Oryctolagus cuniculus: one gene and its partners. The main gene of each other region encodes a partner of the protein of the gene in region 2 in a complex. Links are inferred from orthologs where the notes say so. Each region holds a gene or a part of one and is shown on either strand. Other genes may lie near its edges.

What was found.
Region 1: LAMTOR1 (region 2) and LAMTOR5 share a complex: the UniProt entries of both Homo sapiens proteins name them as parts of the ragulator complex. The link is inferred for Oryctolagus cuniculus from reciprocal best matches to the Homo sapiens genes LAMTOR1 and LAMTOR5.
Region 3: LAMTOR1 (region 2) and LAMTOR2 share a complex: the UniProt entries of both Homo sapiens proteins name them as parts of the ragulator complex. The link is inferred for Oryctolagus cuniculus from reciprocal best matches to the Homo sapiens genes LAMTOR1 and LAMTOR2.

The regions. Positions count from the first base shown.
Region 1 is NC_091438.1:59,944,422-59,948,643, forward strand, and holds the start of LAMTOR5 (ragulator complex protein LAMTOR5), read left to right. Parts: upstream 1-1,361; 5' UTR 1,362-1,458; coding exon 1,459-1,493; exon of another isoform or gene 1,494-2,238; coding exon 2,239-2,300; exon of another isoform or gene 2,301-4,194; coding exon 4,195-4,222. UniProt on the Homo sapiens protein: As part of the Ragulator complex it is involved in amino acid sensing and activation of mTORC1, a signaling complex promoting cell growth in response to growth factors, energy levels, and amino acids.
Region 2 is NC_091432.1:63,579,273-63,582,070, forward strand, and holds the end of LAMTOR1 (ragulator complex protein LAMTOR1), read right to left. Parts: intron 2,309-2,798; coding exon 2,163-2,308; intron 1,920-2,162; coding exon 1,842-1,919; intron 1,544-1,841; coding exon 1,417-1,543; intron 1,111-1,416; coding exon 1,018-1,110; 3' UTR 506-1,017; downstream 1-505. UniProt on the Homo sapiens protein: Key component of the Ragulator complex, a multiprotein complex involved in amino acid sensing and activation of mTORC1, a signaling complex promoting cell growth in response to growth factors, energy levels, and amino acids.
Region 3 is NC_091438.1:42,634,896-42,639,004, forward strand, and holds the start of LAMTOR2 (ragulator complex protein LAMTOR2), read right to left. Parts: upstream 2,811-4,109; 5' UTR 1,953-2,810; coding exon 1,885-1,952; intron 1,638-1,884; coding exon 1,475-1,637; intron 274-1,474; coding exon 184-273; intron 1-183. Other genes in the region: UBQLN4 (ubiquilin-4), read left to right, coding at 3,053-3,160. UniProt on the Homo sapiens protein: As part of the Ragulator complex it is involved in amino acid sensing and activation of mTORC1, a signaling complex promoting cell growth in response to growth factors, energy levels, and amino acids.

The DNA of each region.
Region 1 (4,222 bases), on a different chromosome or scaffold from region 2:
GAGGCTTAGCAGAACTGGCAGGACACACAGGTGCGCTCCTGTTTTCACCAAAGTGCTACCATCTGAGTGCACGCTGGCACTACCTCTGTGCCAGCAATTCACGTCCATCAAGTCTTAAAAACAACCATATCCTTTGGCCCGGTAATTCCACTTCTAGTAGCTTACCAGGAAAATTTTAAACTGCACAGAGATTTAGCCAAGAGGATATTCACCCAGCAAGCTAGTATCCAAACTGTACATTAACATGGAGTTGGTCAAGTCAGTTAAAGCACATACGGCTGAGACATGGAATATTTTGCAATTAATAAAAACTAAGTATTTATTTTTAAATATTTTATTTATTTGAAAGAGCTGCAGAGAGAGGTAGAGACAGGGAGAGAGGTCTTCCATCCGCTGGTTCACTCCCCAGATGACTGCAATGGCGGAGCTGTGCCGATCCAAAGTCAGCAGCTTCCTCCGGGTCTCTCTCGCCAGTGCAGGGGCCCAAGGACTTGGGCCATCTTCTACTGCTTTCCCAGGCCATAGCAGAGAGCTGGATCGGAAGTGGAGCAGCTGGGGCTCAAACCGGCGCCCATATAGGATGCTGGTGCTTCAGGCCAAGCCTTTAACCCACTGTGCCACAGCACCGGCCTCAAAACTAAGTATTTATTAACACGAACAGACATTTATGCTAAAACCTGTGCAAAGGCTCAGCAAAGGAATCATGTCCAATATTTTTTTTTTTTGCTTAGAAAAGAACAAAAGCCATTTAGAGCATACCTCTGCAAATACATCCACCTGAAAGGGACTGCAGTCACTTCTGGCAGTGGAAGTGTGGGAAGTGTGGCTGGTTTCCTTCCTTTATTTTTAATCTTGGCTTTGACAGCTTGTAAAGCTGTTTTCAGGGAGTGTCACCCCAGTCCTCCTTATGCGTTAGGTATCACACGGCACCTTCTGGCCCCAAACCTTCCTGAGCCCTGATCACAGGAAAAGCAGTGTCTTAGTTAAAATTCCAACACGTTTTGCCAGCGCCCCGCTCCGGGTTTTACCCGCGGGCCACCTCGTCCTTTGTCCCGGGTGTACGCCCTTCAAGGAGCCCGTGGCTCCTCTGGCCACTTGCTCCATCCCGCCGGGCCCGCAGGGTTACTGTCAAACACCATCCTGTCCTTGGGTCTCGGAGTCGTTTGCACTGAGACCAACGGACAAGAACCATTGGGCCAGACTGCAGGCCAGGAACTGAGGCGCTGGGGCCTGGCTGCAGACTCTCACCCCGCGCAGCCCGAACCCTCAGGGAGACGGGAGCACGGCTCGGCGCCGTCTTCCGGGAGAGAACTCGGACGTGGCGCCGCGGCGAATTTTGTCCCATCGGCGGCGCCGTCGCGGGCAGCGGAAGGCTCGCGTCACGTGACGGAGGCCCGCAGTGAAGCGGAACGCGACGGCTCCGGGGGCCCGGGCGGGGGTGCGCTGCCGGCCGGCGGGATGGAGGCGACCTTGGAGCAGCACCTGGAGGACACGTGAGCAGTGCGGGCCTCTCCGGCCAGTTCTGAGGTCGCAGCGCGGGTTACGTGCGGGACAGCGGGCGAGACCCGCGAGCGCCGGAGGGCGGCTCGGGGACGCCGTGCCACCCCAGAAGGCTGGCCGAGGGGACGGGGCCGGTGGCCCGAAGTTAATATCCCGCTGGGGCCCGCAGCCTTCCTCTCGGGGCGCCGTCCGCAGGATTAGGTCGTTCAGGAGGGTGTCGCAGGTGTGCCGTCGGCCGCACCGGGTACACACACACACAGATCGTGTGTGCGATCTGTCATTTGGTGTTTAAGGAAATACCTGTTCCTTAAATGTGTTAACGTCTGTGTAAACTCAAAGCTGCAAAAGTCTAAGGTGTACGTGCAGACACCACCCTCCCAGCCACTCCCTCGTCATCCCACTTCCCTTCCGGGAGGCAACGCCTCTTAGTTTGTCCAGTTGTCTTACCTGAGCTGTTACGTAAAGCGTGCGGTTAGAACGGCGAAAAACCCCGCATCCGAACTGTTGCGTGCGCCTAGGCTTCCCAAACCCAGCAGATACTCATTCTTCTCTGCAGCTGGCTTCAATTACTACTTTAATTTTGCTCGGGGTTGGGGAGTGTGGTAGGAAAGAGGTCGAGAAACCCATTTAAAGCACTTAGGCAATGCCTGATAGCATGGCAGGCCCACGGGCGTCATAACCGTTTGCATCCACTTTCTCAAGCCCTCTGCCTCACCTCTCCTGTGTTTCTGGAATTAGGATGAAGAACCCGTCCATTGTTGGAGTCCTGTGCACAGACTCACAAGGCCTCAATCTGGGCTGTAAGTATCTCCTGCCAACCCTTTGCTGGACTGCGCCACACCTGGTGTTGACCAAATAGTATTTGAGTCATTTCAAACTGGGCCTAGACAGGACTCGCCCATGAGAGCTGTGAGCATGTGCTGAGCCATATGCGAGGCTCCACCTGCCTTGCTGCACTTTCCACAGTATCCCTGCATGATGGGTGGGTGCAGTGTTCTAGTCCAAGTACACCAACAGTGAAAATAGGAGATTCTGAGTTTGGCACAGCTGAGTTCAAACACTCCCCCCACCCCCACCCCGTTCTTTCATTTGCTAGTTGTGTGAACTTGGGCCTAAATGAACCTTTCAGGAACTTTTTTTTTTTTTTAATATTTATTTATTTATTTGAAAGAATTAGAGAGAGGGAGAGACAGAGAGATCTTGCATCCTCTGAGTCATTCCCCAGATGGCTATAATGTCCAGGGCTGGGCCAGGCCAAAGCCAGAATCATCCAGGTCTCCCACAAGAGTGGCAGGGACCCAAACACTTGGGCGATCTACTGCTTTCCCCAGACCTTTAGCAGGGAGCTGCATCAGAAATGGAGCAGAAGGACACAAACCGCTGCCAATATGGGATGCCGGCATCAGAGATGTGTCATGGCACCGGCCTCCATGGCATAGCTTCACTGGGCTCTTGTTTACTGAGACTAGTGCTTACAGAATTGCGTGCTCTTCCTTGAGTTCCAGGTACCATTCTAATGGTAACTCACGCACTCCTCCTAACAACCAACGTGAGGCACAGAGGTAAAGTAGCTTGCCTAGGGTCATAGGGCGGTAATTGGCTGAGCTAGAAATGGTGTCAGGGTCCAAAGCCTCTTCAATCACAATGCCGTGAGATTATATAATATGCTTAAGACAGTGCACACCCAGATGGAACATGCTCAGAGAATGACAGCAATCACAGATGAGGAAATGATAGATAAGGAAAATGATAGATAACTAGAGCATTTAGTTAATGTCAGAACTAGTAAACCCAGGACACGTCTTAGTGCAAGAATTTTTAAAGCTCTGAATTTTTGCTGCAAGGGTAACAAAGCGGTAATCTATAACTCAGTTGCTTGGAGAAAAAAGGCAAATGTTTTGACGCTTTTGCCAGACTCACTAATGGAAATACTGAAATGAAGTGTGAAACTCTATTAGAGTTGCTTCAAGAAAGCTTCAAGGTGCAAAAGATGGCGCCGTGCTGGTGAGTTGCTGTCAGGAAATCCCTCTGCCCACCAGCCACAGGCACGGTTCTGCTTGGCCTGCCTTCATACACACATACAGGACACAGTAAACTCAGCAGTTACATTTTGTGCTTGGGACCCAAGGTTCCGTTATCATATACAAGCTAAAGCAGTCAGGAGTAGAAGACAATCGTGTGGGCATTTGAAAACAGCCAAGTAGCTATGCTAGCAGAAATAACTGCTCACAGAATGTTCACACGTGCCATCGAGGAGATCTGAGACTGCGTGACTCCTCAGGAGAGGAAATCCGCTTTCCCATGAGGAATGAATTAGCTTCAGCAAGCCTCTTGCGCGTATTGACTGCTTTTTGTCAATCTCACCTCTAAGCTTTTTGTTTTCGCAAGGTTCCTATCCAGTGAATTTATGGTTTTCAGAGTGACCTGAATTACAGCGTCCTGGTATGTTGAAGCTGTTTACAGATGGTGATAGGTGTGTCAGTTATAGCTTACTGATTTATTGATTTTTGTTGCCCGGCTTTCTCACTGATGTAACCACTGAGCGTCAGGGAACAGTCACTTCATGTAAGCACCAAACTTAAAGGACCAGGACCTGAACCTCCTCTTTGTGAATCATTCAGTGAGATACTGTTGCTCCAAACTTACTTGTGGCTCACCAGGTGCCCTGATACCATCGTTCTCTCTCTCTCTCAGGCCGTGGGACGCTGTCAGATGAGCATGC
Region 2 (2,798 bases):
ATCGATCACTGAATCCCCAAACTCTTCGCAGAGCGCCAGGTCAGAGGAGACACCCAAGAGGCCCCGTGGCAGGTGTGGCAGGTCCAGAAGACAGGTGGTGATCTCAGAACCTCCCCACTTCAATCACAATGCTCTACTTCCAGCAGCCTTAGCTTTTATATGGTAGGCTTCTGCTAAGATCTCATTTGATTCAAAGAATCTCTGCTTAAAAACATTTCCTGCTGGCTCCAGATCAGGGGTTCCCAGGACAGCTTGGTTTACCCCCAACCCTGTGGCTATCGGTGACCCCACTGAGCCTGAGGCAGGACCCTCAACAGTCAACAGCTGCTTCAGATTCAAGCCTGTGCAGCATTGACTGTGTTTAAGATCAGTCGAATCCAATCTGAGGTTAGCCCAGGCCAAGGTTCAGCTAAGACTTGGGGCCCCCCACCCCACTGCTCACAGACTTGGGTAGCCAGAAGTAGTAGGGTGATGGGTGGGACAGAGGGGCCGGAACCAACGCAGATGAATACATTTCCTTTATCGAGGGTGACAAACAAAAACAAAAAGAAAAAAGACCAAACATGTAAAAACCCAGGGTGCTAGAAAGACAAACTCAATTCATTCAAATTCAAGCTCATCCAGACCCTGGTCACAAACCCTAGAGGTGCATGTGAGCACCAAGTCAGGGAGAGGGGGACAGGAGTGACTCTGAGGCCAAGAGGAAGGGTGGGAGGGGGACCCTTTGGGCCCCAGTGACCACCCCCGCAGTGGCACCTCCACCTTCCCAGTGACTGCGAGGACCTGTCCTTTTGGCCCCCACTCCACCCCTAGCTAGGGCTTTGAAGCCAGTCCCAAATGGTTCCACCCTCCCTTGCTCCGTCCTCACTTGCTCAGGCTTCCAGCCTCACTCTCCTCCTCCTCGTCCACATCTCCGTGATTAGTAGCAGGTTAGGGTACTGTATAAGCCGCAGTGAGGCTGGGGGCTGGGGGAGGCGGGGTGGAGAGAGGAGAAGAGCTGTCCAAGGATGCTTCTCTTCACGGGATCCCAAACTGTACAACCAGCTCCTCTTTTGCGTCCACACGGATCTGAGAAAGTGCACTGTAGGCGTAAGCAGCTATCCTGGAGACCTGAGACACAGGGGACGGAGGAGAGGGACAGAGACAGGTGAGAGGGGAATCAGCGAAGAGCAAGGGGCAATGGGCGACAGGAGGCCAAACAGAAAGCCACGGATGGAAAGGGCCCAGGGAAAAGAACAAAGGAGGTGAGATGGAGTAAGGATTGGGCGAAAAGACAAGAGGACATTAAAAAGAGCGAGGTGGGAGTGAGCCAGGGCCCACAGGCCACTGCGCTCCTAACACCACTGCTCCACCTACCCCGGGGCAGGGTGGGCGAACCCTCCTGTGGAAAGGGAGGCAGACTGAGGGGCAGCTCACCTGCTGCAAGTCGGAGAAGGGGATGGGCTCGCTGGCCAGCACTTGGTGCGGCTGGCTGGTTAGAGACGGCAGCGGTGGCAGCTTCTTCCAGTGGGTCAGGCTGCTGCTCAGCACGGCCAAGCGGGTGCTGAGCAAGGCGGGGAAGGCAGTTAGGCCACAGTCTGACCACCCCAGCCCAGCCCAGGCAAGTCTATTAACCTCCGGCCGATGACAGGGAGACAGGGTCTCTGCTGATCACAAACTCACTCTAGGCACACTCTCAAGACTATCACAGGGCAGAAGCTGACATGGACATCTGAGGCGCCCAAGGGATTTGTGTGCAGTCTCCTGGGCTGCACCCAAACAGTGAGCCTGAGCAAAGCTGGGACAGGGCTGGGGTGGAGAGAGCCCCAAAGGCCTGAGGGAGCCAGCTGGCCAGTGCTCACCTGTACTGCCTTGCCCGGTCCATGTACTCATGTTGCTCCATGCCCTGGGAGTCTGCGGCAGACACATCGATGATGTTGCTTTGGGGACGAGACAGAGAAGACATGACAGGTGTTTTTGAGAGGGACAAACATGACTCAGTGCCAGGTGCCAACTCCAGGGCTATCCGACACCAGTGGCCCCACCCTGCCTTGAGGCGCAGCTCCTCAATGACCTTGTCCCATTCCCCATGTCCTAGGCCAACTCCCTCTATCCCAGCCTTCAGTCCGGATGGACAGACGGACGTTGGAACTCTGCCCCAGGCTCGGGCCTGTGACCCTCACCTGGCTGTCTTGGCGAGGATGGAGGAGAGCAGGGCCTGCTCATCTGTGCGAGCGGAAGGCAGGCTGTGGTAGTTGGGCTCAGCTCCATTGAGGGCTTTGGTGGGGGGGCTGCTAGGGTCCAGCAGCAGCTTCCGCTCCTCTCGATCCTAGGAGAGGCCATGGGGGAGACCCTTAGTCCAACTTGCCTGGGGCTCTCCCTGCAGCCCAGCTCTAGCATAAGCACTCGCTTGAGTGCCCAACTCTATGGGCTATCAGGCAAGACTCAGTTTCTGCCTGCGTGGGGAGCTGTGCCAAACTGGTGGTGGCCTAGGGTTAACTACAGGGGAATAACCAAGCAGTCCTAGAGGCACTGAAAAGGTGGACAGAGGCAGAAAGCAGGAATTCAGCCACAGCCCTGGGGCTTCAGTAAACAGTCCAGGATTTGGTGGAGAAAGGATACTGGACAGAGGGGTGTAACAGCCCGTAACAGTCGGATCTAGAAGGAAGTCAGTGCACGTCGGGAGCTCAAGAACCGACCCCTGGGCCCCAGGACGAGGCCCTCCCCAGCAGAGCTGTCTGCTCCCGAGATGACGGCCCTGGTGAATCCAGACAAGGCCCAGGCACCAAAGGAAAGCAAGTTCAGTGGCCATTCCTCAG
Region 3 (4,109 bases), on a different chromosome or scaffold from region 2:
ACGGATCCCAGTTCTACTCCCAAGGCCGCCCCTCAACCACTCCCACCTCCCTCCTGCCCACATCAGACACTAATTGAGCTGACGGAAGGACTTGAGAGCGGTGCGGTGCTGTGGGTGGGAGTGGACACAGTGACGGAGCACAACAGCGGGCCCACAGCTGCGGCAGGATGGACATGTACACACCTTGGCCTTGAGCATGCCGAAGCCCACGGTCTCCTTGGCATACATACACAGCAGAAGGTTGGCCACGCGGGTGATGGCTACACGGCCCTCCTGGTAGGGGATATGATGGGATGGGATGTTCTGTTTGACACTCACAGGACCCGCCTTCCCCGAGGGTTCCTGACTTAAAATGTATGTCTCGTCTGGGTTGCAGTCACATTTGAAAGTTACTGCTTTAAATAGCACCAGCTCCAGCTAGGCACCCATAGGAGTCACCTGCTGAGCCAAAATGGCAGTGGTGAGGTCAGGGGGGGCAGGCAGCCAAGTTACAGTGGAGACCCTTCCTGGTGCACGCACCCTTGCAATCTGTTCATTTTGGTTCTGCAAACCTTTACTAGGTGTCCGCTGTGTGCTGGGAACCAGGCACCACAGCCCCTGTCTTTCTGGTCCTATCTCCTGCTACCCTCCCGCGACTCAGGCCAAGCTTGCTGATCCTAGTCCAGGCCCCACTCTGTCACAGGACCTTGGTACTTGCTGCTCTGTCAGAGGGCCACATGACTGGACCCCCACCACCCTCTGTCCTTTGATCAAACATCGCCTTTTCAGTGACACTGGCCCTAACACACGCCCTCCATACCCTCTTACTTCCCTGCTTTGTTTTTCTCCATTGCATTTCATACGGTCCAGACCAGATAGTCTGCTTATTTTAAAACACATGTAAGGTTGTAAGCTCCACCAGGAATGGGGTTTTTGTCTGTCCTGTCTGTATGCCCCCTCTAGTCCTAAAAGTCCTGCAGGACCTAAATGGTCGTCACCTAAGAGATTCAGAGAGGAGCGAAGCAGTCCCTGTTCCCAAGAAAGTCACAGTGTAATGGCCACTTCTCCTGTCCGGGTCTGGAGACTCCGCCATGGCCCTGCAAGTCGGTGGCGCTGGGTGGACACGCTCTGCGTCTGAACAGCTCTCTACGGTGTAGACCCATTCTTTCATTTGATTGTCAACAGTCCCGAGGTGGGGGAGGATGGCTCATCACCTCCTGCTTGGAGATGAGGGAAGTGACTTACCCAAGGTTTCACCACTGCTAAGTGCATGGCAGAGACCAGAACCCAAGTCAGACCTGAGGTCCGGGGCTCCTTCCTCACCACCGCTGGGTGCTCCCGGGCCTGCCTATCGCAAACGCTGCTGCAGGACCAACTCTTAGCAATCTCTCGGAGATTCTGTCCCTGCCCCAACAATCATCCAGGATGGGGGCCAGTTCGCCCCCTGGGAATCCCCTTGGTGGATGGAGGAAGTCTGGCTCCCCTCTCTCCGTACCATGCAGTCCATGAGGATGAATTTAAGGTTGTCTTCGTTAAACGCCTGGTTCCCGTTTCGGTCATAAGCTGCCCAGATGTTACTCGCGATGGCCGCGGTGACCCGGGCGTCCGTGTCTCCATAACCCGAGTAGGCCAGCAGCGATCCCTCGTTATTCAGCAGCCTGGCGAGAGACAAGGATGGGATGTCGACATGCTCAAACGCCTGGGTCCCCGCCCCGACGCCCGTATCACTGGCGCTCCTACGAGGCAAGGGGCTGAGCTGAGCGTGTCCCGGAAGGCGTCCCGAGCCCCCAGCACGCTGGCTTCCCTTTCCAGAGGCGCGCTCTCGGTCAGCTGCGGGTCCCCTCGGCCGCCTCCCTTCCCCGCCCCACTCCGCTGCCGCCGCACGGGTCCACGGCCCGCACTCACAGGGTGCTCTGGACGCCTCCGGTGTTGGCTTGGCTTAGCACCTGGGTCAACGCCTTGGGACGCAGCATGCCAGCGGCTCGTCACCCAGCCTTTAAATCCCAGATCCTCCGAGCGGCGTCCCGCTTAGCCGCGGCCTGCGGCTTCCGGCAGTGCAGCGACCCGCTCGGGAACGCCCTGGGAGTTGTAGTTTTCCGACCCCGTGACAGCTGCTCTGGCCCCACCCCGCTCAGCCGCGGAGGGACTGGGAATCGTAGTTCCTGTGGTCTCGCAAGGCACACTGGGAACTGTAGTTCGCCTCCTCAGCTAGACCACGCGGTCGTGGGGGAAAAGAGCGGGAGTGGAAGGGCAATGTGGCAGGGTTGGGAGGACGTTTAACCCCTTGGCGGAGAGAGGTCATCATGGCCGCTTGGCTACTCACGAAGCGATAATAGTAGTAATAAATCCTCGTATTTGTCGGGCACAGCCTGGGTTACTTCTCAGAGCGGTTTTCTACGTTAGGCACTATTCTGTGGGATGAGGCAAGAGATTCTGTTTTCTTGAAACCGAGGCTGGAACGGTGACGCCGGCAACACCCAGTTCTCGCACCGTACAGAACAGGCCATTCAGGCCGTGGGCATCGGGAGCAACAGGGTCACTCCCTGAGTGGAGGCTTTAAGTGGACGTCCCGCGGGGAGAAAATTCAGACTCCCGGTGGAGCGAGGCCCCAGGCCTGGAAAGGAACTTGCACCGCCCAGGGAAGACCAAGTTATCACAGAAAAAGCGGCCACGCAGAAAGTCCTTTGTCCGGGAGCAGGAGTAACCGCGGAGGGGAGGGGGCGGCCCGGGGTCGCAGGGCACGGCGGCGAGGCTCGGGCCGGGCGGGGGTCTCTCGCAGGCCCCCGCCGTGAAGGACACGCCCTCCGCGCCCAGAGGCCCTCGCCACCCAGGCCGCGTCCCGGCGGCCGGACCCCAGGCCGGGCCCTGGGCGGACCCCGCTGCAGTGGCCCCCCCAGTCCGCCCGGGGCGCTGTGGCTGCGGCGGGTCCGGAGGGGGCGGCGGAGCCGCGGCGAGGGGAGGGGAGAGGGGAGTGTTGGAGGCGCCGAGCCGAGCCGGGCCGGCCGGCGGGCGGGGAGGAGGAGGAGGAGGAGGAGCCGGGCGGGCTGGCGGGCGGCCGGGTGGCGGCGGCGGCATGGCGGAGCCGAGCGGGGCCGAGACGAGGCCCCCCATTCGGGTCACCGTCAAGACCCCCAAGGACAAGGAGGAAATTGTGATCTGCGATCGAGCCTCGGTCAAGGAGGTAGTAGGGCTAGCGGCGGGCGGGGGGGGAGCGGAGAGGGAGTGCGGAGGAGGGGGCTACGAAGAAACGGGGCGGGGGGCCTCCGTGACTGCCTGGCGTCCGGGACGGCCCCGGGGAGGAGGGCGGGGGCCGGCGGGGACTCGCGTGGGCAGGAGAGGCGGATATGGGGCGCCCTGCGCGGGCGGGTCTGGGGGAGTGTGGCGCGTGCTGGGGGGAGCGGGCTTTGCACTGGAGCCGGGGCTGGGGGCGTGGTGGAAGAGTGGGTAAGGGGACACCTTGCGCCGGCCCCCGGGAAGCACCCTGGGGCTGAGGGGAGTGTGCGCCCCTGGAACTGGCCGGGGTTCGAGGCGCCGAGGCGCAGTGGCGGCCCCGGCTAGGTGCTGGACCCGTAGAGCGGGTAGGGGGCAGGCGGAGAGCGCCCGCGTCTCCTGTGTGGCCCGGAGAACGCCCAGAGTCCGCCGAACGCAGGGCGCGGGGTGGGGTGGAGGATGTTCTCTGCCCTAGATCCTTCCTGCTCTTTAAGCCCGAGGTGGTCACACTTGGTTTTCAGCTCTTCTGAGATTTGCACAGTGTGCAGTAGGTGCTCCATAAGGTTTTGTTGAATGAGGGACTCTTGCCTGCGTTCGCCACCCCCCTGTAGTTGCTCCAGAATTTCACATAGGCGGGGCTTCAGGATGGGCCATCTGGTTGGAAGAGAGGGATTTGGAAGCTCCCTTTGCTTATTAGCAAGTGCGCCTTTTCTACTCGGAGTGTGCGTTGGGTTGGGTTGGGCTTTGCAGGGACTGAGAATTGAACTCTCCCAGCAGTATAAAATGACTGAATTCCAGAAGAGGGGTCCCTGCAAAGCTGACTTTGAAAACAGCTGGAATTGAGAGGCAAGAGTGTCTGGTCAAGACCTGAGTTCCAATCTGCCCAGGATGTTACCTAAGCTCCCTGCTCTTCCGTTTTC